Linked DNA regions of Lytechinus pictus. The protein of the gene in region 3 purifies or fractionates together with the protein of the main gene of each other region. This does not show direct contact. Links are inferred from orthologs where the notes say so. Each region holds a gene or a part of one and is shown on either strand. Other genes may lie near its edges. The genes, in order: palmitoyl-protein thioesterase ABHD10, mitochondrial-like; acyl-coenzyme A thioesterase 9, mitochondrial-like; E3 ubiquitin-protein ligase KCMF1-like.

Evidence for each region.
Region 1: the proteins of E3 ubiquitin-protein ligase KCMF1-like (region 3) and palmitoyl-protein thioesterase ABHD10, mitochondrial-like purify together in Homo sapiens (affinity purification with mass spectrometry; 3 studies listed by BioGRID and IntAct, counting the BioPlex papers as one, with this or other methods). This does not show direct contact. The link is inferred for Lytechinus pictus from reciprocal best matches to the Homo sapiens genes KCMF1 and ABHD10.
Region 2: the proteins of E3 ubiquitin-protein ligase KCMF1-like (region 3) and acyl-coenzyme A thioesterase 9, mitochondrial-like purify together in Homo sapiens (affinity purification with mass spectrometry; 3 studies listed by BioGRID and IntAct, with this or other methods). This does not show direct contact. The link is inferred for Lytechinus pictus from reciprocal best matches to the Homo sapiens genes KCMF1 and ACOT9.

What each region holds. Positions count from the first base shown.
Region 1 is NC_087252.1:503,552-511,644, forward strand, and holds the start of palmitoyl-protein thioesterase ABHD10, mitochondrial-like, read left to right. Parts: upstream 1-5,005; 5' UTR 5,006-5,079; coding exon 5,080-5,369; intron 5,370-7,221; coding exon 7,222-7,339; intron 7,340-7,856; coding exon 7,857-8,003; intron 8,004-8,093. UniProt on the Homo sapiens protein: Acts as an acyl-protein thioesterase that hydrolyzes fatty acids from acylated residues in proteins.
Region 2 is NC_087260.1:23,355,239-23,362,451, reverse strand, and holds the start of acyl-coenzyme A thioesterase 9, mitochondrial-like, read left to right. Parts: upstream 1-4,148; 5' UTR 4,149-4,361; coding exon 4,362-4,402; intron 4,403-4,654; exon of another isoform or gene 4,655-4,767; intron 4,768-5,041; exon of another isoform or gene 5,042-5,156; intron 5,157-7,104; exon of another isoform or gene 7,105-7,213. UniProt on the Homo sapiens protein: Mitochondrial acyl-CoA thioesterase. Catalyzes the hydrolysis of acyl-CoAs into free fatty acids and coenzyme A (CoA), regulating their respective intracellular levels. Regulates both mitochondrial lipid and amino acid metabolism.
Region 3 is NC_087256.1:14,249,346-14,257,421, forward strand, and holds the start of E3 ubiquitin-protein ligase KCMF1-like, read left to right. Parts: upstream 1-5,071; 5' UTR 5,072-5,290; coding exon 5,291-5,306; intron 5,307-8,076. Other genes in the region: dihydropteridine reductase-like, read right to left, coding at 82-165, 694-802, 1,317-1,457, 2,519-2,708, 4,830-4,916. UniProt on the Homo sapiens protein: E3 ubiquitin-protein ligase which accepts ubiquitin from an E2 ubiquitin-conjugating enzyme and then transfers it to targeted substrates, promoting their degradation by the proteasome.

The DNA.
Region 1 (8,093 bases), on a different chromosome or scaffold from region 3:
GTCTGTCTGCCTTGTGCCACACTGGATTCATTGACATCCTCTGAATTACCACCAAATGACACATCAGTTTGTGGATAGGTTGCAGTTCCTTCTATGGGCTCTTCTGTATAATATTGCTTTCTATTGTCCTCTGCCGTTTGGCCCTCAACAACAGAGGGGTCTAGTTTTCCTGCTGGGATGCGATATGTTGGTGAGGAATACTGGCAGCTCCTTGTGATGAGGACTGGTAGACTGTTGGCCTATTGAAACTGTCATGGTACCTGATTCCGTGCTCCAAGTGGGGAAGCTTTGATTCTCCTGATGCCAGTTGCCAGCAGAGTAATTATAATCATGTGCAGGGTAACCGCTAGGTATGTTGGGGCAGTCACGTCGTAGATGTCCCTTATGACCACAGCTGAAGCATCGTCCATCAGTCCTCTTTCTCTGAGGCTTTCCTCCTTTCAGTCTGGCTACTTCTCCCCTAAGTTGCTCCAACTCCGTCATTATAGCTTTCTGTTGTTCTACTACCTGTTGCACAAGCATGGAATCTTTCATGACTGCCCTTCCAACTTCGATATCTGCTTCTCGGACTCTGGGCCTCTGAGTGGTGGCAGTCTCCTGAAAGAGTTTGAGGGCTTCCTCACGAATCTTGGCGAATCCATTGGTTTCATGCATCATCTGTATTCGCCTCAACTCTCTCCTCACCCAAGCCTCCCGGGCACCATTGACAAATTGATCACTTAAGGTCTTGTTTTTCAACTGGCTTAAAGCTTCTCCTTGAGCTTGTGTAGTGGCAGCTTTTTCCATCTTGTTGTAGGTGCGAATCAGGGCACGGCTGAAGTCACAAAGTGATTCTCCATCTCTCTGTATGCGATTATGAAACTGACTACTGAGGGTCTGTGTGGTTTCCTGATAGCCAAAGCACAATTTCAGACGACTTACTATTTCATCAAAATCCTGTCTCTTTGATTCACTGAGACACATTATTTCCTCTCGTGCTGGTCCTGAAAGGTGATCTAGCAACAGTCGAGCTTTGCTACTCATTTCCATATTTTGGTTAGCAGTTACTCCATTAAATTCTTCAAGCCATTCTGACAAGGACATATCATCCGCATGATGTGGCATCCCTCGGAATTTTGGTAAGTTGCTCTGTAATATACTTTGTAATCCAATTGAACGGCGGAAGAATTGGGACAAAACATCCATATTCTCAGTCGTAGCTGATGATGAACTCGATCTGGTTTCCATGATCCTAGATTTGAATTTGGCACATAAAAAGAACTTTGCATACAGAATAGCGAAACCACAATACAATCACTGCACAAATCAGAGAAAAAAGAGCATACAAATGTTGTCCATTATTTTACATACAGTCTGACCGAGGCTGTTTAGAACCAGTCTAAAGTCATTCCAATTTTATGTTGTGCACGATGACACCAGGATAAGACCACATACACGTAAGTTCTCAAGATTTCTTCTAAGTCCAATATCTGCAGAGCCCGTACCAGATGGTCCCTTGTTGCTGATGATCCCACTTCTGACACCATTGAAAGGGTTCGCGCCGACGACCACACAACACAGACACGACTCACAAGGGCTGAGGTTTCATTGGGTTCTTTTATTTACCAAGGGAAAAACAGCCTCGGTCAGACACTAATTCCGCATTTTGCTTCGACATCTTAAGTACATGAAAGGAAGTCCTTGCAGAAGTCTTCTATACTTCAAAGTTAAACTTTCTTCTGTAGGGACAAGTCTCCTCCTCAACAACAAACAGTGGGAATGCCCTTGCTACTGCCAGTGTGTCATGAGTCACTGGACTCTCTCCCTATCTAACAATAAAAGTGCAATGGTGCACATCAAAGTACAAAAGCATCCCTAAAGGGGGTACATGAATTGGCATTACTGCTACCGTAAGTAACGGTGTATTAACCGCACCTTTTTCTCGGCGGGATATAAGCAAAAGTCGGGGGTGCGGTTTATACACGGTGACGGGTCTGAGCCCGCCCGTGTAGCCCCTCCCGAACATGTAGGAAGTCTGCCAGTTCACAACACATCGAGTGGCCGGCCGTAGCCGCCCAGTGCAATGTCGTTTAGAGGGGTATGAGCCGCGGGTAATGGGTAGCGATTATTATGATCTTATGATCAAATACTGTCGTAACAAATGCACCCACCTTCATGACACTAATTTCGACTTTATTCTCGATTCAAAGCAGCGAAGTTCCCTGGCTAAGTTCATAGAGACGCCAAGCATTCTCGGTAATAATTTGTCACAGCTGAGCGAGAGCCAAGAGCTAGCTTGCGTTGTATTTTGGTTTTAGTGCGACTTAAGCTGGCGCTATTCATTTAATTTAACCCCTCAAAGTCCCGTTTCGCGCCAGCTTATTTTTTTCTTTCCTGTTTGCTTTTCATAAGATACCATGTACACCGTGCACCACGCACGATAGAGACGGCACGAAGCCGTCAAACAACTGGAAAAAATACAAATTTCTTTGTTTCTTGAACCTTCCTGTAATCCCGTATCCAAAATTCATGCTAAGACATCGAATGCTAGACAAATTCTGAAAGTGATTGTGAGGTTGTGATGCAAGAAATGTGAAAGACACAGATCACAATTTGATAAGATGTACTGGTAGTGGTACCGTATCGAAGTTTGAAATGTACATGTACAAGAAAGGCAGTGCTGTGTGTGTGTACACTGTGACTGTGAGGTGAGTGAGTGTGTAAATTGCCAATATTGGCGGGACCTTTCTTTCTTGCTAACATTTGTAGATGAATTGATCAAGAACAGCAGATTTCTGCATACTGGTAATCTCTTTGAATACTTTGAAATCTTTAACTTAGTTTTTGTTTCTTCGTACCTCAAATATGCATGTAAATGTGAGGATTTTTTTTTTTTTTTTTTTTTTTTTTTTTTTTTTTTTTTTTTTAGTCCAAAGTTGGGGGTGCGGTTTATACACGGGTGCGGTTAATACACCGTTACTTACGGTACTCCTAAAAAGGCGGGAAAGAATTAGCCAATGAGCAGAGAGGGAAAGAGTAAGTCAAAGTTGGTAGAAGTACAGAGAGGGAGAAAGAGTACTAAAGATAAAGTTGGCAGATATAATGTGAAATATAGATTCATTTTACACATTATATACTGAAATGAAATAATAAAACAAAGTATCCTTTTGACTAGCTTTTTAAGGAAATATTATACAAGAAAAATCCAATTTACAACAGAAACAACACCAACAAAAGCATGATTTTTTCCACCCAAAATTTTGTCTCACTGAGGTCAGAAGCCCATTTGTTTTGTGTGTGATTGACAACAAAAATCCTTATCAAAACAAAAGTAGATGGTGAATTTTTAAAGTAGACGGTGAAAAGGGGTAATTTTTCATGAGGAATCTGATTATCACATTTTTATTTGCCGCCAAGGTAATCCTTTTGCAGCAAATGTAAACAAAGGAAATTGGTCTCCAAAACTGGAGACTGTCTCTGAAATTGGATACCCAAATTCTTCACAAAAGTCTCTGATTTTGGAGATAATCTCCCACAATGGAGACAGTCTCCAATATTGGCCGTGCGCCTCTACTGCTAAAGAGTAAAGGCGGACGAAAATCCCCCCCCCCCATTGAGATCGACATTGCCACTATTGCCAGAGCTGCGCTAGACCAAAAGCTTCGGTCTCTGTTATGTTGGTTGTTCAGCTGAACTCCGTTGGCTTCACTCACCAAATACAGAGACCGAAGTTCTAGCGCGATCTGTACAGGGGACTCAATGGCCATATGTTTATGTACTTAAGATCGGATAAAACGGGGAAGTGAATTTGCGCGACAGCCGAGGTAAGTCACTGTTTTTGTTCCTTTTACCTTGATTTTTCTCCGTTTTTTGGCAATTAATGCCAAGAGGGAATATTAATTTGCATTTTGGTCGCGTTAATTTTCAAAATTTTTATTCATTAAAGACAAAAATTGAAAAGCCCCGACGGGGGGATTTTGCATTGCAAGTCCCCTAATGGTGGCTGCACGCTAGCGAGCCGTCTGTGTACGAGGAGAAATTAAAATAAAAAAAATGTTAAAAAACTCCTCGAAACAGACGGCTGCCAGCTGTCTAGAGCTGCGCATGCGCGCGTTGCAGAGGTTGTCTGTCCAAATCAATATTACACGTACCGTATAGTCAATAGTACTAAATAGAACCAAATCTGCAAACAATATGAAAGTAAACATCAAGCCGCGTCAAACCCGGCGGATATGGTTCCGATTAAAAACGATATCGGCCAGTTAGAACGATATCTGCCGGTGGAACCAAATCCGCCGCTACACCGGCGGCCACCGCCGCGCTGCACAGTCACAAACCATTGATTGCAAACGGGCACCACACACAGACAGTGACTAGTGAGACATGGCATGAATCATGCCATGATCAACAGACGGGACGGGACACAGTGCAGTCTCACTCTCATCTCAGACTCAGTCAGAATCTCACCACCAGCTCACTCAACACAAATGACAAGAAATGAAGAAAATACTGTTTTTTCTCACCTTACGCCGTCCCATTGAAATGAGCGCTTGGATAGAATGGTTAACAAATAGATCTTTCCACTTAAAATCTTCAAAATGTCGAGAATTCTTTTAAATATCGTTCAGATTGTGTGAAGTTTCGATACGGAAAGCGTAATTCGTCGAATGAATGAGTACGAAGTTGCCAATCTCGAATTAATTGTGTTACCTGCAAAATTTTGAAAATTATAGCCTAATAATATTATTATTTGATTAAAAATAAAATAAAATAAAATATTTCTAACTTTTATAAATTTATTTAATTCATATAAGAAATTAATATAGTTATTATTGTCATATTTGTTACAAAAATCTTAATTCTTAATACTTCATCCGAAATTGGAAAACCTAAACCGCGGAAACTTGGCGTTGCAATCATAATTTTGATGAGATTTTAATAAAATTTGGGGAATGAATCACAATGATTTGAATTAAAAATATTATAATAGAAATAAATTTATATTAAAAATATTTTAGCATAAGAAACGAACACCTTATTCAGACATGTTGGTTGGTCCGCATTCAATATTCTAATAAGTGGCTGTTTTCTGAAAACAAAATGTCAGCGCCCTTGTGCTATTTTCGGTCTTGTTTAAATTTTCGCATGTTCTGTCTTTCTGCTCCCAAATCTAACTCCCGTCTGCAAATCCAGCAGCGATTCATGATGACAGACGACAGGGAGAGTCTAGAACATTTACAAAGGACACACACGTCATCTATAGCTTTTCGTCAAACGCCCGGGAAAGATCCGGGCGTCGTGTTTTTACCGGGATACATGAGCAACATGACCGGCGGAAAAGCCGTGGCACTGGAGGGCTACTGCAGGCGGCGTGGGCATGCCTTTGTTCGGTACGTGATATATTTATCTCGTTCCGCTTCAGTGATTTGTTAAGCCACTTAAGGTCCTGACTATGAATCCTGACTCGGGAGTCGACATAACATACAATGCAAGAAGAATAGGCTCCGAAGAATATGCCGATATCTAGACTATAAATGTATAATTGATTAGAAATTAATACAATTTATACTAGAGTAGGCTTAACTTTAATTTAATTTTACTATTTGTATTTTTAGAATCTTAAAAGTTAAACGTCAGTTTTTTGTTTTGAATTCTAATGACTGTTACTTGTCAAAATTAATTGGAAAATTATGACTGAACTTCTTTATTTTTCTTACATGTAAAAAAGTTAGATCTAGATCTAACTTTTTTTTGGTAGTATAGTGAGTGATTGTATTACTATTACCGTAAATACCGACCAGCCTTGTATTACCGAACGCGCGCATCGTAGCATCAGAAAATAATTTTATATGCTCAAAACTTTGCAACATTCTTCCAAAGGGAACTTGAATAGAAAGATTATGAAAAATGGTCAAAAACACATTTTCAAAATATTAATATTTCTAAAAGTGATAAAATATGGTAAAAATAGCTCATCACTAGACATCAGTAATTTTGTTGTTTTCTCAACTTATCCCATAGAAAACACACGTTCGGTAATACGATACCTTTATCAAGTGACCATATATTTCACATGCGAAGAGGGGTCCGATTGGAAGCTAATATCGTAAAAAGGAAAAATGATTTTGGCAAAACTTTTACATATTTATATTTTGAAGGTAATTGTGTATTTAAGGTGAAAGTTTGGTGATTTTTATGAGAATAATGTGTTTGATATGATTGAATTCATGAAAAGTGTTCGGTAATACGATCCACTACCATACAGTCAGTGAGTCATGTACCAATAGCTAATTTATAACCAAACTTTCTTAACAAAATTTTGTTCTAAACTAAAGTTATGTCTAAATGTTCTGGAGATTTTTAGATTTAAATGTAGACTAGTTCTACATTTAAATCCCCAAAACTTCTAGACCTAACATAAGTTTAGAACAAAATTTTGTTAAGAAATCGAATGTTTGGTCAAGAAATTAGCTACAACATGACTCATTGACTGTACTATACTAACAAAAAAAAGTTAGATCTATTCTAGATCTGTCTAAATGTAGTGTCTTTGAAATGAGTCTAGATGTAGTAGTACATGAGTACAGTGTCAAAATTTTAGTTAATTGGTCAGACATTTAAATAATACTAAGTACTAGCATGACTAGGTCTATAGAAGAATCAAATGTAGGCCTATTGTATATCTACATGATTATTTATTTACATTGTTGTGATTATTTGATGTCTAATCATCATTATTGTGAACAATTAATAATCATCATAACCATATTTTGGTCCATCAATTTCTCAGTAGTAATCATCATCATCTTGATTTGTCTTTGCTATCACCATCACCATGGTCATTGTCATCAATTTACCATCATCAGTTACTGTAACCGAAATTGATTCCCATCATTGACATAATTGTCATCACCACCATTTGCCATCATCGTCATCTTCATATTCTTTATCAAAATAATAAACTCGTAGTGGAACTCATGCCATCAATTTATCACCACTATCTTTATCTTTATCATCATCATCATTACTGTACCATCATCAACATCAACACCACCACCATCTTTACAATCATCATCACCCTCCTCATCTCCACCACCACCATCATCGTCATCATCATCCTCTCCACCATCCTTGTCATCACCATCATGTATAATTACTTGTAGTCATTGTCATGACGTCATTGTCATCAATTTATCATCATCATACTTGCCATATTTAAAAGTCTTCTTTTTTACCCACCAGCTTTGACTACCAAGGCTTAGGTGAGTCTATTGGGGAGATGAGGAAAGGAGAAAAGATGTTTGACGTATGGAAGTCAGATGCTCTTGCTGTTCTGGATGAACTAACTGTAGGGCCTCAGGTGAGAAATTAAAAAAAAATGTTAATTCGACCAAATTCTCTATCTTACTCTGTCTGTTTGTCGGTTCCCCCCTTCTTATTTCTCTCACTTCACCTCTAATTTTTCTTCCCTTCACTTTTTCTTTTTTTTTTCCTCCTTCTCGCCTTCCCCCTCTCTATAATTATAAATCTCTCTCTCTCTGTCTCTTTTCTTCCTTCCTCTTTCTCTCTCTTCCCCACTCTACCTTACTCTCTTAATTTTTCTCCTTTCTTCTCTGTTGCTATTCATATGTCTTTTTACTTTCAAGGGGAGGGAGGGGGGGGGGGTGTTTTGCTCTCCCTTTTTACAATTTACAATTTTTTGTCAGGGTGAACTTCCCCTTTAATCGTTTGTATTTCTGTTGTTACTATTTATAAAAGCAAACAAGCTGTGTCAGATTAAGAAACAAAGTTCTGCTGACCACCCCCCCCAAAAAAAAAAAAAATCTTCTTAAATATGACTATTAGAACCTTTTCAATCCATTATCATTTTATTTTAGATTCTTGTTGGTTCCAGTATGGGCGGGGCCATTATGCTGCTTTTAGCATTAGAGAGACCAGAACGTATCCACTCACTGCTTGGGGTAGCTACTGCAGTACAGTTTGACAGACCAATGTCTGAGCAGAAGAGGGGCCATGTCCATGAGGTAAGTAGTGTAGCCTTAAAAGTAAAATAAAGGGAAAAAAAACAAGGAGAAGAAGAGAATATTCTCTTCTTCATCTTAAGAATTACACAG
Region 2 (7,213 bases), on a different chromosome or scaffold from region 3:
ATAAATTTTTTTTCATGAAAAGTAATATAATGAAACATGAGTTTTTATTAGAAACTTAATTTGCATTTGATTTGTGTTTTTGAGCAATTTGCATCCGCTATGAACTTACATATTGTATAACTTCAGAATCTCATCAGTAAAATATACAAATTTACAACTGCATTTTGGGTTGTGAACATACATCATACATGTACATGTATTACTCCCCCCCCCAAAAAAAAAAGAAACACCAATGGGGCCAAGCCAAGGGGTGGACTTAAGCCACAAATGGGTGCATTACATGCCGCTGTGTCAGGAAAATTGAAGGCACGGTGCATGCAAAATTGCAACAATTGCATGGCCCTTACGCGAATTTAAGAAGAGGTTTTATAAAATCGAGTCCTTATACGAAACTTACTAAACGATGTGAAGTAAATTCCCCCTAATATCATGAATATCCCTCAAATAGCGTCATTTAAGCGTTGATTTTTCTTCTCGTTCACAAAATACGGAGCTTTCTTCTATTTCCGAAATTTTTCGTCTTATTAGCTAAAGAGGGCACGCGATTTATCATCATATCAAAGACACAAGGGAAAGACTAGGCACAAAAACTATTTTACACATAAATTGATGCAAAGCGTTACGTGAAGTCGGCAAAGTGTGAACCGTTTTACTGTAAAGACTTTGGTGGAAAGTTTCTTGACAAACGAAAGGTAGCACTGCGGGCTTTGTTCAAGGTACGTAGAATTTTTTTTTTTTTTTTTCCATTTGTACATGTAGGTATGTTACAAAAAAAATTGAGAACTGAGGTGTTTGTTTCAGAGCATCATTTAGAGCTCATCAAGACCTTTCATTTAACACCCTATTCATCTCAATAGCCCCAGTAGCCTCAACAGCTGCCATAAACATTCAACTACGTAAAAACACTTCAGGCTCAGCCACAACATTGCCTTGGCTTCACTCACACGTATTGCAAGGTAAGTATGCTATACTAACCTTGCACTACGAACGTGTTTACGCAATGGATTTTAGAGATGTCAGTTAACATCGCTTCATAACACAAATAATGTTAGCCGAAACTCATTCAGCTACTCACCAGGGCTTTTTTTTGTTGAAAAGCGTTCTATTTTCAATTTTAAAAATATTTTAAATATAAAAAGCACATAAAAAAGAGCAAACTCGCTAACCTCGGCCTGGAAAGTGGCTTCGCATGTCTCTTCCACGGAAATGAAAGGAAGGTCGTTACTGGCGCTAATACAATTCACAACCTTAATTCAGCTTGTCAGTATTTTTAAACTAGATCCTTGATTTATTGTATGCGCATTTCCTATGATTGTTTGATAAAATAGAGACACACATTGGACACTTTGCCGACTTCACGTAACGCTTGCATCGACTTTACGTGTAATACAGTTTTTGTGCCTAGTCAAAACTGTTTTTGTGCAAATAGTCTAAATCAGTTCAAATCCAGACTTGAAAAATTTTGGCACAACCATCCTCTGAAGTACAGACCTTACCAAAGATAAGAAAATCAACGAGTAGCACATAAGCAGATTGCTTTACATCTCAACATCCAAGTAAATCCAAGTAGTCTTTCCCTTAAATTAATTAATTAATTGTAGTGTCTTTGATATGAGGATAAATCGCGCGCCCTCTCTAGCTAATTAGACGGAAAAATATTTGGGAAATAGAAGCAAGCTCCGTATTTTGTCAACGAGAAGAAAAATCAATGCTTAAATTGACGCTATTTGAGGGATATTCATCATATTACATGCATTAGGGGGAATTGACTTCCATGACATGCATCGTTCGGTAAGTTTCATAGGATTTGATTTTATGAATCATCTTCTGAAATTTGCAGGAGTTTGTTGCAATTTTGCATGCGCCTTGCCTTCATTTTTCCTGTACACCCAGTTGGACGATCAATTTTAGAAAGTCATTTGGAAAAATTTACAAGCGAAGTTTCAGCAATTTTTAGTACAAAATGTTACTGTTAGGAAATATTATAAAGAACAAAATAGAAGATGACTACAATTTAGATTAAATTCATATTCTTAGTGTAATCCAAACAAAGACAAAAAAGAAGGCTTCAAAAATATAAAGTGTCCGGACACCCGACCCCCATCCTACATGGCGGCAGTAATGCACCCATGGCATGGGTGCCTTGGGCTTGGCTTTTGCCCTGCCCCTGGCTTGGCCTTGCCACATCGCCATCGGGAATTTTAAGCTCCATTATTTTCAGTTCACTTTCAGCATCGATCGATCTTGTTCTTAATCTTTATTCTTAGTCATGTTAGTCTTCTTCTTCTTCAAGCTACACTGCCTCCTTCAATCCTGAAGATTCTTGCAGTATTGTAGTACCGGGGACCGGCAGGTGCAATACACCGGGTGAACACCCTACTCTTTGACGAATAGTGTATTGGTTTTAACGTGAATAGGTTGTGACTCTCCTATAGTAGCTATACACGGGACCAACATTTGCGTCCTTTCCGATGGACGGAGTGTTTTCCAACTGCATTCACACCCGCACTGAACACAGCGGTGAGGCACGTTAACACACAACGCTAGCATCAGTTTTTTTGTAAGACGTCTTCCGGCATGCTGCGGGACTCGAACCCACGCACGTTGAGATCTACGAGTACGATCTTATCCGGAACAGGCGCTCTAAGACCAAGTCTAAGACCTAAGTTTCTAATCTAAGTATGGTTGGAACTACCCCTTATCGACCACCTAATCTTCTCAGCATCGTATCTGCGAAAATATTCATCAATTTTACCCAGTTTTAGTCCCATTTGTGCAGAAAATTGAGCAGATCAGATTCCCATGTTTCGCTCGGCGACTCCGATTCAATCCGCGTATATATCGACGAACAACGAATACAACGATTTTACATTTGCTCATTTGCACCCGTCTTTTGAAACCGACCACCCGCGATACACTAAGTTTACGGCCGATTCTTGTCGCGGTGGCGAAATATTTTTACTCTTCCAAATCAGTTCTATGATGTCAACATGCTAAATGATCGTCTCACTACTTCCACTGCGAGCTCCGGCACATGATTCGACGATTGACGACGGATATTTGTTCTAAAGCCGTTTCCTATCGGACTTCTTGGTTTTTCAGCGGGAATTGGGTCTGGTCAATACAATTTTGATTAATTCTACTAAATTTTTACTTTTTGTTGCTTCTTTTTTTCTCGTAAAATCGATTCTTACCGTTTCTATGGACACTGCGCCTACTCTCCCGCGCGTATCGTTTGTAATACGCAATAATTTTAACGCGCGCAAGGTGGTCGGTTTCAAAAGAGGTGGTCGATATGTGGTAGTCTCACCATATAGTAACTAGTGAGTCACTAGTCTAACCGACCGAGTCTGACTCTGAGCTACACTGCCTCCCATCTCAGTCGGTCTCAGTAGGACTTCATCTTCACAGTATTATTTTTTATTATTGACTGAAGTAAGTGATCAAAATTTATGCAAACGTGCAAGTCAAGTCAAAGGTAGAAAAAAAAAACGGTCGAATCGAAACACAGAAACGTGATTGCCCCTACGCCCTATATGCATAAGAATCGCACGCACGGGCATGACGGGTTGAGCTGGTGTATGGACCGGATACGGACTACACAACACGGCGTTAGTTTACTTTAAAAAAAAATATTTTAAGTTCAAGTTTATGCAGGTAAGCAACGATAAATTTGTCATGTAAACCTATATAATCTTGGCTCACCTTATCAAAAGGACTTCAATTCAAGCCGGGTGAGACAGTGATTGTCCAGTGATTTTTTTAACGACAACTCTTCTCATGGGTCCACTGCGCTGCCAGAAGAAAAGTATATTTCACGTTATATTAGACCAACGAACGTAGAGGGCAGCAACACACAAGCGTGTTGCTCTATCTAGCTAAGGAAGGTCAACTCCGCTCGAATTTTGTGACCACTCTAAAAAATAAGGTGGGGTTTTGGGAAATTTGTCGAGTTGATTTTTTTTCATTTGATAATTTCAAATATTTTTAATGAACAATTATTAGATCGCTTATTCTGGGTATAAATATTAAAAATATTATTCTTATTTTTAAAGAAAATATTTAGCTTCAATAATCATGATTTTGACATTTTTCCTCATTTTGGAATATTAAGTCTATGACGAGGATACCCCTAATCTGTTATTTTCTTCTGCTGAATTTCGCTGCACCACTAATAAATGCATAGACAACCACCGTAATAATCGAGGTCATTTTTCCGGCCTGGGTGCGCCGAGTCTGGGCCGGTCGCGCAGCTAGCTATAGTGACGTTGATGATGCGCTGGGGCTTCAGGCGACTCGTCATAGATCTTCTAGCAACATAGACAATGACGTCTAATTTGCCTGGCCTGATTTGAAGTGTAATGGCTTCAGGGCTGATGTTAATCAACGATGATTGTTCAAGGTTAGATTTCAAATTTTAATTGTCATTTGACTTTTAAGTCTATAAATCTGAAATAAAGGCGCTGTATCCCCGAAATCCGGGTCTAAATTTCAACTCCGAGTCCGAGACCATGGCATGGACGTCGAAAAACAACAACCCACGCATCGGATGCATTGCATTGGCTGCGCGCTGCGCTGCAGCTGCACTGTGATGATGGATTCAGCGAAGAGCTCAGAGAAAATAAGGTGGTCATATTCAATCCCGAAATGCTTTGCGAGTGGTCACAAAATCGTCTCGACGCAAATCACCTAAAGGCCACCGCACACCTTACGACTGTCCGCGATCCGATTTTGGAACAAATCGCATTTTGCTCATTTTCTGAAAATGTGAATGGAACATATCATTTAATTTGAGGTTTAAATTAATTGAAAGAATACTAATATAACCATTTTGAAAGATTGCAAGCCTTTATTTCTGAGTAAAGGCCAAATTAGTTTCAAATCGTAGCCAATCGTACGACTGCTATGACGTCATTACGACTAGATATTAAATTCGCTTTTATTCTAAGAAGGATGATAGCATAGTCACAGATTTGAACATAGGTATTCGTACGATGATTTAGAACATTACACAGTAAGATATTCCAAATCTCAATGTTAGCATCAAATTCTACTACATTTCATTCTGAAATCGGGTCGCAGACCAATCGTAAGGTGTGCGGTCGCCTTAATACAGCCGTCTGGTGAAATCGCTGATAACAACAATCACCGATTTGGTAATGATTTAGTTTCTAAAACTTATATTTGTAAAGTTTTAAATATCAACGTATGTTTTCAAATGTACGTATATTCTCCAACATAATTTTTTAATGTTATCTTTGATATCGTTGTAGTCATATTCTTTCATATTGTTTTCGTGATCGCTACTAATTTGTTGTTGTATTGGATCGGCGTATGATTTCGTTGGCATAAATGATAAAATATGCGCGTACCTCAGCTGCATGCGCGTATTGAGTTGACCTTCCTTAGAGCAACACGCTTGTGTGTTGCTGCCCTCTACGTTCGTTGTAATAGACGTAGACAAACGAACGTAGAGGGCAGCAACACACAAACGTGTTGCTCTATCTAGCTAAGGAAGGTCAACTCCGCTCGAATTTTGTGACCACTCTAAAAAATAAGGTGGGGTTTTGGGAAATTTGTCGAGTTGATTTTTTTTCATTTGTTAATTTCAAATATTTTTTAATGAACAATTATTAGATCGGTTATTCTGCAGATCATCCGAAAAATCAAGATGAACAAAAACATATAAACATTTAAAAGAAATACATAGACGTATACAGGGGCCGCGGAGCGGGGGGGGGGGGGGGGCTTCAGCCCCCCACTTTTTTCCAAAACCGTGTACAAAAACGTAAAAATTACCATATGATTGTGATTTTTGCATGGTCAGCCCCCCCCCCCCCACTTTGAAAACCGTTCCGCGGCCCCTGGTATAGGCCTATCACCAGAAAGACTATAATATATAGTCGCATTCACCTGTGTGCAAGAACATCACAATTCCCTTATCAAAATGTGCTTATCAAGAGTGTACAAAATAATAAAATTATACGTCCCTAACAATTAAGAGGGATATATTATGATATAAATTGTTCCTTTTCTTCTTGTTCTGGCCATGACTTTAAATCATATTTGTCTATTAATAATCAAACTGCATATTTCAGACCTATTTCAAGCACTGAAATAATTAATATTGTTATTGTTAAATACAAGTCCAAGCTATAATGGTATATATAGTATAGAAATGTCGGTCATTAAAAAAAAACTATTTTGATCAGCAGTGAGCCATTAAGTGCATTATTTAATAAGTGTTTTGAATTGGGATCATTTCCATGTCAACTACAGATTGCAAAAGTTATTCCAGTTCATAAAAAAAGGGTCCTTCTGAAATTATGTCTAATTATCGACCTATCTCATGCAGTATACAAGCTATCTTTTCTAAAATATTAGAAAAATGTATCTATCTATAACCGATTGTTAAATTTTATCATAAAGTGCAATGTATTGAACCCTACTAATGATATGGTTTTAGCCAGGATATTCCACATCTGCTTTATTGGTAAATTTTATTCAGAAAGTTACTCGTGCATGCAATAGATGATGAAGAAATTATGATTGCTTGTTTATAGATCTCAGCTGAGCTTTCGGTAAGATCGACCATTTTATTTTATTAGAAAAAACTAAACTCTTATGGAATTAAAGGAATCACATTGGATCTTTTCAAAAGTTATTTAGGTAATCGCAAACAATGTAGTGATAAGTTTTATCTTAATATTGCAAAATGCGGAATTTCGCAGGGTTCAATACTCGGCCCTCTATTGTTTTTATTGTACATGATTTCTGTATTAAAAGGCCTCTGACCAGTGGCATACCTAGGATTTTCCACAGGGGGGGGCAAAACCGTCCGCCCAAAAATTTAACAAGCAAAAAAAAAAAAAAAAAAAAAAAAAAAAAGGTCTTCAAGTCAGGGGGCATTGAAGGACTTAAAGCTCGTCAGAGGGGCAAAAAAGGTTTTTCAAGCCCGTCAGGGAGGGCAAAGATACGTTTTTGCATGGGTTGTGACTCGTCAGGGGGGCAGAGTGCCCCCCCTGCCCCCCCCCCCCCCGTAGGTACGCTAGTGCCTCTGACCTTTTAAAATGTATTCTAGTTGGCTTCACCACCTTTCTCTAGCTCATCTTTCATGATCATCGAGAAACGCAACCCGGATTAAAACCAACTGGTGTACGTATTTCCGTGGTGTGAACGGGTGCTTTACCTTCCTTCCTGGTTTTCTCCCTCC
Region 3 (8,076 bases):
AGGTAATCAAGAATAAGAAGAGAGAGCAACACTCAATGTGCAGTACTGGCTTGTTTTGAGAAGAAAAGAATCAATACTTACTCTGATACATATTCCAATGTAGTCCATGAGGAGAAATCAGCATTGGCCATGAACTTTCTATTCATCGGTGTATCTAAGGTAACCCTGAAATAAGAATAAAGGAAAATTGTTCAATAACTAATCACTCTATGGCCATTGGACATTATTTGTACTTTGGTCATAACAAATCCTCTACATGACATTAATAAAGCTAGTAATTAATGCATTGTTACAATAAAATGTTATAAGCTAATGAAAAGGTGCAATGTGATCAGTTTGGGGAAAAATTACAGAGGCTCAGGGCAATCTTGCACCTGATATACTCAAAAGAGCCTTAGAAATTAGAAGAGAGCCCCCCCCAAAAAAATTTCCCATTTACTGCTTAGTTAATGTTGCAGATTTAGACAATCATTTGTGAAAAGTAGCTCCCGAAAGTAAATATTCACATTTTCGCCTCAGGGATGGGTTGCAAATATAGGTCATGGGATTCTAGTATTTGCTTTAGTTAGCATGGTTTACAGATCTAGACCTATAGTAATAAAGTGAAAACTAATCTTGGTTTTCAAGGCTTTCTCTTGAAATTATCTCTCTTGGCAACATTAGTTTAGCTACAAGAACCATTGAATTACTTACGGCAGGATGGCAAGAGCTGTAGCGTTTGCTGGTAATCCACTGTTATCAGCACCAAGACCTTTGGTGAGTTGATGAACAGCTGCCTTAGCCATACCATAACCCATCATACCTACAATTAATCAAAGAATGACATTCTTTAGTTAGAATATTTTATATTAAAATTCATGACAAATACTTCAGACATAGATCTATCATGTATCAACATTTCAGTGCCAGATATAGTCTACAAATTACATTTTTTAAGGATTTGAAAATGATGTGCCTGATCTCATTACAAGCCAGAAACTCATAAATCTTTATAAAGTTCAATCCAATGATACATGTATCTTTATATTGATTCATAAGGATTATGAGTCAATCTGTTTGTAGTTGTACTTTGGGAATTAGATCTAACTCTGCATAGCATACTGGTCTCATCATATGAACCCATTTTTCAAAATCTTATTTTTCAAGTAAATTGTCTAACATTCTCACATTATCAAAATTATTCAAAAGGGCATTTTTCTATGAAACACAACAAGTTATAGACTAGTATTAAAAACTAAGAACACATCTAAATTTTTAGTTGATTTGGTAATTTTGTGTTGGAGGGTCACATGTTGTTGTATATATTATTATCTGACCTGCAGTTCCTTCTAGCGCAGGGTATGCACCGGTCAGCTGAAGTAGGCCACCCTCCTTTAAATGCCTGGCAGCAACTCCAGCTGAGATGACTGATGTCCAGCAACTCTGTTTAATCATCAGGTCAGCATTCTTCACCAGGTCTACAGAGATATATTAAAAAAAAATCTTTATATTTACCAAGTCAATATGTGCACAAGAAATGTGCTACTGAAGTCTGAAAAAGATAATAATAATTAAAAAAAAAACAGGCTCTGACTGGGGGACATACGAAAACAATGAAAAAATGAATGACACCATGTTATCATCTAATGAAGATAGCAACATTAGAACCTGATAAAAAAGGGGGAAAATCCACAAAAGAGTATATAAATCCAGCAAAAATCTGAAAACTAAAATAGGCACTATGTTATTATCGTATCTCATGAAGACAGCACATGGTGATTTTTTTTTTCTTCAAATAATATGATTTAAAGTTATCCATTTTATTTTTCGGTTGTCTGATAATCTACACACATTGTTAACATCTTCTTCTTCAACTACTCTCACACTGAAGTGCTCTACTCATTTGTAAAATCAAACGCAGAGAAAAAGTGTGCATCAACATATGACATAGCTGACCTCAACATCAAATTAAAGAGAAAATCTTCCTAAGTTCCTACAATGAAAGACGTATAAACTATTAACTTTTTTAAATAACTAGAAATATATCTAAACAACATATAAAGTTTACCAGTGGCTAAAAATATTTCTGATTAATTCCCTTCTACTGCTCCAAAATTAAAGAGTAAATGTAACCAACTCTTGTTTAAATTCAGATGTGTATTAATGTTACAAACAACTTGAAAATAAACCTCTTCATATTTAACAGTCATACATGGTCACTCTACACACAGAAAACAGAAAGTGAATCAAGAAAATACACCTTTTTTCACCCTAAAAGATAGAATTAAAGGAAACATAAGGGGAAAAAATTCAAAAGGGAAATTTCACCATCTAGATTATAGAAAGTAATGGATCTGTAAAAGCTTTGACAAACACACTATCTTTCAATCTTATGAAGATATCACATTCCCATAATCACTGTACAATATCTGCCTAAAATGCAAAAAAGACCAATATGACTTTCAAATCATTGATGCATCATTTTTAATTGATTAAACCTATATACCAGATATTTGTGATAAAATAATGAGTAGCACACCTTTGGACTTTGCATTTCCTCCAGCCCATCCCCCTGCTACACATAGGATCGCATCTAACTTCTGACCAGAGAGGGCCTCCTCCACCTTAGAGTAGACTTCTTCCGACTGCGGGGTCCAGGCATTCAGCTCACTGATGATGACATTAGCATCTGCTTGCTCGTTGGGGGCCAAATCTGCAGATAATACCCACTAGAAAAGGAGCAAAGGAGAGAGAAAAAAAAAGATTACTGGGCTAAGTTAGAATCTGTCTCAAAAAGCAGCAAACCCTTTTTGGTTAGATTTTAATGATCATTTTACCCTAAATTGTTTACCAGAGTGCCCTGAAATATGTAAAGCATGTTTTGATGCCTTATAAGTGCAAGTGACATGTATTTTTGGAAAATACAGACGGATATTATTAGCCTATGTAACCTTGTAACATCAGTATTTGTTGAGTAGATCCAGTTAGTCATCTACAGCATTGGTCTACATGTACATTTAAATCCTTGCAGGGGTGGCTATCAAGCAGAAGTTAAATATGAGCATATCCCTGATAGGAACATAACAGAAATCATGGCCACTAATAATTTAGTATTGTTCATGATCCATCAATTAAAAACCGCTTTTAATATAATACTCATTCAGTTTTATTTGATTTGATTAAGCCTGCACTCATTTTTTATGTTACATTATATATATATATCATACTAGATCCGCCGGAAAGGCGAATCTTTTGTATTTTTTTCATTGTTCACAATTCGCCTAAACGCCCTCTACATTCGCCTATACGTCGAAATGTCTATTATGACGGAATAAACCCATTCATAGACTTTGCCCTTACATAGGATGTAGGCATATCTATATGGTATATAAAAGTATGTTTTTGCGCAATTGCAAGTTTTATAAGATTTTTATCAGATTAGACCCAGATCTATGTATCTTTAATGTATGTTTCAGATTTAATATGTATCAGATAATGAGATATGTTTTCTAATTGAATGACCAATAAAAACTATCAAAATAAATAAAAAATTACATCAACGAACATGACAAAAATGGCACACACAAACGAATGTAGAACTGAAAGCGGGGGGAAAATCTATCTTTTGTGGCATGTCTGTTCTAACTTCACTGAGACCACTTGTTCACTGCAACCACCCTGCCTGTGGGGAATCTACATGTAAATGTAGGTCTATGCAGTATACAACACACATTTAAACAATGCATTAAAATGCCACTTTCGGGAACAAAAATACTAATTTCCATACACTTGCAATTTATTTTTCACTAACTTGGGAATCGTTTTTGTATTCACCAGAGTGCTCAAATTGTGCATATTTTTGTGTAAGCCCTCTATTGGTGGAATGTAAAATCTCAAGAAAATTGTTGTTTTTCAATCTATATTTCTATTATTTAGAAAAATTAATATCTAAAAGAATTCAATTTATTACGAGCCAAGTTATATGATGAATAGATCTATCATCTAACGCAACAAGTTAGTCTACATCTGTTAGTTGCACTTGTAAATGGAAACTGATATTAAAAATCAAGCATTTGTTAGTAAGAGAACAAGAGAAAATAAGCCAAATATTGCATTGCCAACCTTATTTCCCCACAAAGGGGTAGACTCTAGTAACAGAGAACAAGGTTATATTCTAACCTTGTTCATTGACAATGAACATTAGTGAGACCGAGTCTGCTGTACAAAATTAACAATAACAGCGTCAGCGGTTCCGATTCACTCAAGGGTTCATTATTACATGCCGTCGCGCACAGAAAAATCAAGCCATATTATTACTTGTTGTGGACACCAGAACTTAGAAGTAAGATCCCAGCACGCGCGACCCACTAACAAAAGTTAGTTAGAAATCCACTGCCAAACGCGGTTCATGGTGCGAGGTTAGTATACTACGTATGAGTGGTTCCGATTCCCATCACCATGACCATGTCGTACTGAAAAAGGCTTGCAATTGCAAGTTGCAGTTCTCCGGTGAACGGAGGCATTCGACACAGAAGAAGGTATTTAATTACCATGCCCATGGCCCCATGCTATGTTGTTAGCTTGGCATACCTGTTGCTTGTTAGCTCCAGGGAGACCGTATACCTTTTCTTCACCAACCCTGCCCTGCGGCCCAATAAAGCCCCAATCTCAAAAACTTTTTGGAAGCCGCCACAGCGCAAGCTGCTTCCAACAAATATAACAACGGATGGGACCGTACTAAATTGTGTGCATGATTCACTTAAGTAACCGACCCTATTTTTCTTTGTAGTTATTTTTTTGAACTCCGAAAAAAGTAACATCAATGCAAATACAAGTTCTCAACACTTTACCCAGTTCTTTGATTTGTAAAAATTCACCAATTGTGAACCAAGGGCACCTTTTCCACCATAAACGAAGACACGGGAGTTTGCTGCCATTTTGATGTATGAAACACTGAGGACTTTTGTAAAATTCCTCTTGTTTTAGGAATATCGTCTAAGATAAAAATATAAAAAAATATTTAAATATCTTTTTAATTTTCTTTTTACGTAAAAATATATAAAAATTGTATTTGATTAGGAGTTTTATATTTCTATTCAGAAAACATATATTTGAGGTTGTGACATCACTGCTCATGGGGTTGAGCACTTTTGATCTTGACGAATATGGGTGCATAATTGGACATAAAAACATCGTTTATTTTTCATGTGGAACCTGTATTTAACATTTTTATGAAATTTTCATATCACAAGACTCTGCTCAAGCTGTGAATGGATTTTGAGTCTACATTGGGGCCGAGTTTTTGCCTAGGATGTCCCGACATGAAGGTAAGCAGATTGCAGAAACCGGAACATGTCAGCATTATCCCATAGGCTTTATGTGTGAAAAGGACCCACAGAATCCCCGACCCAGGCACAGTAAAAACAGTGCAGTGGCAGTATGGTTGGAAGTGGAACTACCCCTTATCGGCCACCTAATTTTCTAAGCATCTTATTTGCGAAAATATTTATCAGTTTTACCTAGTCTTCGTATCATTTCTGCAGAAAATTGAGCAGATTAGATTCCCATGTTTCGATCGGCGACTCCGTCTCCGATTCAATTTGCGTAGAGTCTAAATAATCAGTAAATCAGCGAACAACGAATACAACGATTTTGCATAAAATTTGCTCATTTGCACCCTTCTTTTGAAACCGACCACCCGTAATACACTAAGTTTACGGCCGATTCTTGTCGCGGTGGCGAAATATTTTGACTCTTCCAAATCAGTTCCATGATGTTATTGTTAACATGCTAAATGATCGTCTCAGTCTCACTACTTCCACTGCGAGCTGCGGCACATGATTCGACGATTGACGACAGATATTTGTTCTAAAGTCGTTTCCTATCGGATTTCTTGGTATGAACAACTGTTTTTCGGCCGGGTTTGGCTCTAGTCAAAACAATTTTGATGAATTCTACTAAATTTTTACCTTTTTCCCCTTCTTTTTCTCTCGTAAAATCGATTCTTACCGTTCCTATGGACACTGCGCCTACTCTCCCGCGCGTATCGTTTGTATGGTTGGAACTACCCCTTATCGACCACCTAATCTTCTCAGCATCGTATCTGCGAAAATATTCATCAATTTTACCCAGTTTTAGTCTCATTTGTGCAGAAAATTGAGCAGATCAGATTCCCATGTTTCGCTCGGCGACTCCGATTCAATCCGGGTATATATCGACGAACAACGAATACGACGATTTTACATTTGCTCATTTGCACCCGTCTTTTGAAACCGACCACCCGCGATACACTAAGTTTACGGCCGATTTTTGTCGCGGTGGCGAAATATTTTTACTCTTCCAAATCAGTTCTATGATGTCAACATGCTAAATGATCGTCTCACTACTTCCACTGCGAGCTCCGGCACATAATTCGACGATTGACGACGGATATTTGTTCTAAAGCCGTTTCCTATCGGATTTCTTGGTTTTTCAGCGGGAATTGGGTCTGGTCAATACAATTTTGATTAATTCTACTAAATTTTTACTTTTTGTTCTTTTTTTCTCGTAAAATCGATTCTTACCGTTCCTATGGACACTGCGCCTACTCTCCCGCGCGTATCGTTTGTAATACGCAATAATTTTAACGCGCGCAAGGTGGTCGGTTTCAAAAGAGGTGGTCGATATGTGGTAGTCTCACCATAATAGTAATACGCAATAATTTTAATGCGCGCAAGGTGGTCGGTTTCAAAAGAAGTGGTCGATATGTGGTGGTCTCAGTCGTCTCACTATACTAGGCCCTGATAAAAATAAAAGAAGATTGAGCTCGATCAGATTCATTTACGTCAGGGTCTATTAACAAAGTTAAAATCTATTCTACTGCAATAACAAGTAAGTACATGTAGACAAGACCAAGGTCTAAAAGTGGAAATTTTTGTGGTGTGGTCTTTTCGTGGCAAGATTGATCAGCAGTAGAGGCGCTGGTCCAAAAATTGGGATTGTCCCAGAAAACAAGGATATCTTCATAAACCAAGACAAATCATGTCTTGATAAATTGAGACTGTCCTTGTTTATGGGGACGTTTTTTTTTCACTTCCGCCTACGGGACAAAGACATCAATTACGGAATTGAGAGTGCTAAAGATAGATTCAGTGACCTCAATTCCCCCCAGCTCACCGTCTATTTTTCATGATTTACCGTCTTCCAATAATCTTGTTATGAAACCTGATATGTTTACATTGACTAGCGCACTTGATTAGTGTCTGCACTTGACAGGTGAATGAACTTTACTAGATCTCTTGTGTGAAGAAGTCTTTAAAAACTGAGACAGTCCCTGTAAACTGGGATGATCCCAATTTTCTGACCAGCGCCTCTACTGATCAGCGAGCGCGAATTTAATTTTAAAACATGCGAATTTATGTCTCTGAGCATCTATTGTAATACAAGTTTTGAACTCCGGTTCAATTGCATGTATCATTTTGGCTGCATAATTTGACCTATAGAGGGCAACATTTAAGCAAGCAAGCTTGGGCTTGAGCTCCAAAATCATTCATATGCATCACCAGAATTTGTTCCAATGCGATCATTTTTTTAAGTCGCAGAACGGTATTGAGACTCTAAATTTTGATTTTGCTTGAAATACATGTATAAGTTCTTTTTGCAGTTTGATTGGTGAGTGTTTAACTCTAGATCTGTTTAGTTTTTAAGAAGATGTCTTGTTGATCGCCCAGGCCATGCAGGCAAGGTTTGTTGATTGATCCCATGCACTTTGTTTGAATAGCCGTAATCCCCCCGGTCCTTACCCAGTGCTCGGCTGTCCTACCAGGCCAGCAGCGCCTCTGTTTTGCCTTCCCAGATGTCCCCCCCCCCCACAAAGAAAAGTTGCGCTAAATGTCACAAAAGCTCATGATCGGATCAAAACAATGCTGAATTATGCCTCTTTAGAGCAAGAATTATGATCAGAAAATATAATTTCGTTGCTGAAATGTTAATTATAATCATTCACACATGGGGAAGAAGGAAGTGACTCTGTGATTATGGAGTGTGCAGCGTGAATTCAAGAACTTGCGAATATGTTTTGAAGCTGCCAAGCGAGAAAAATTAATCCCGCCAAAATAA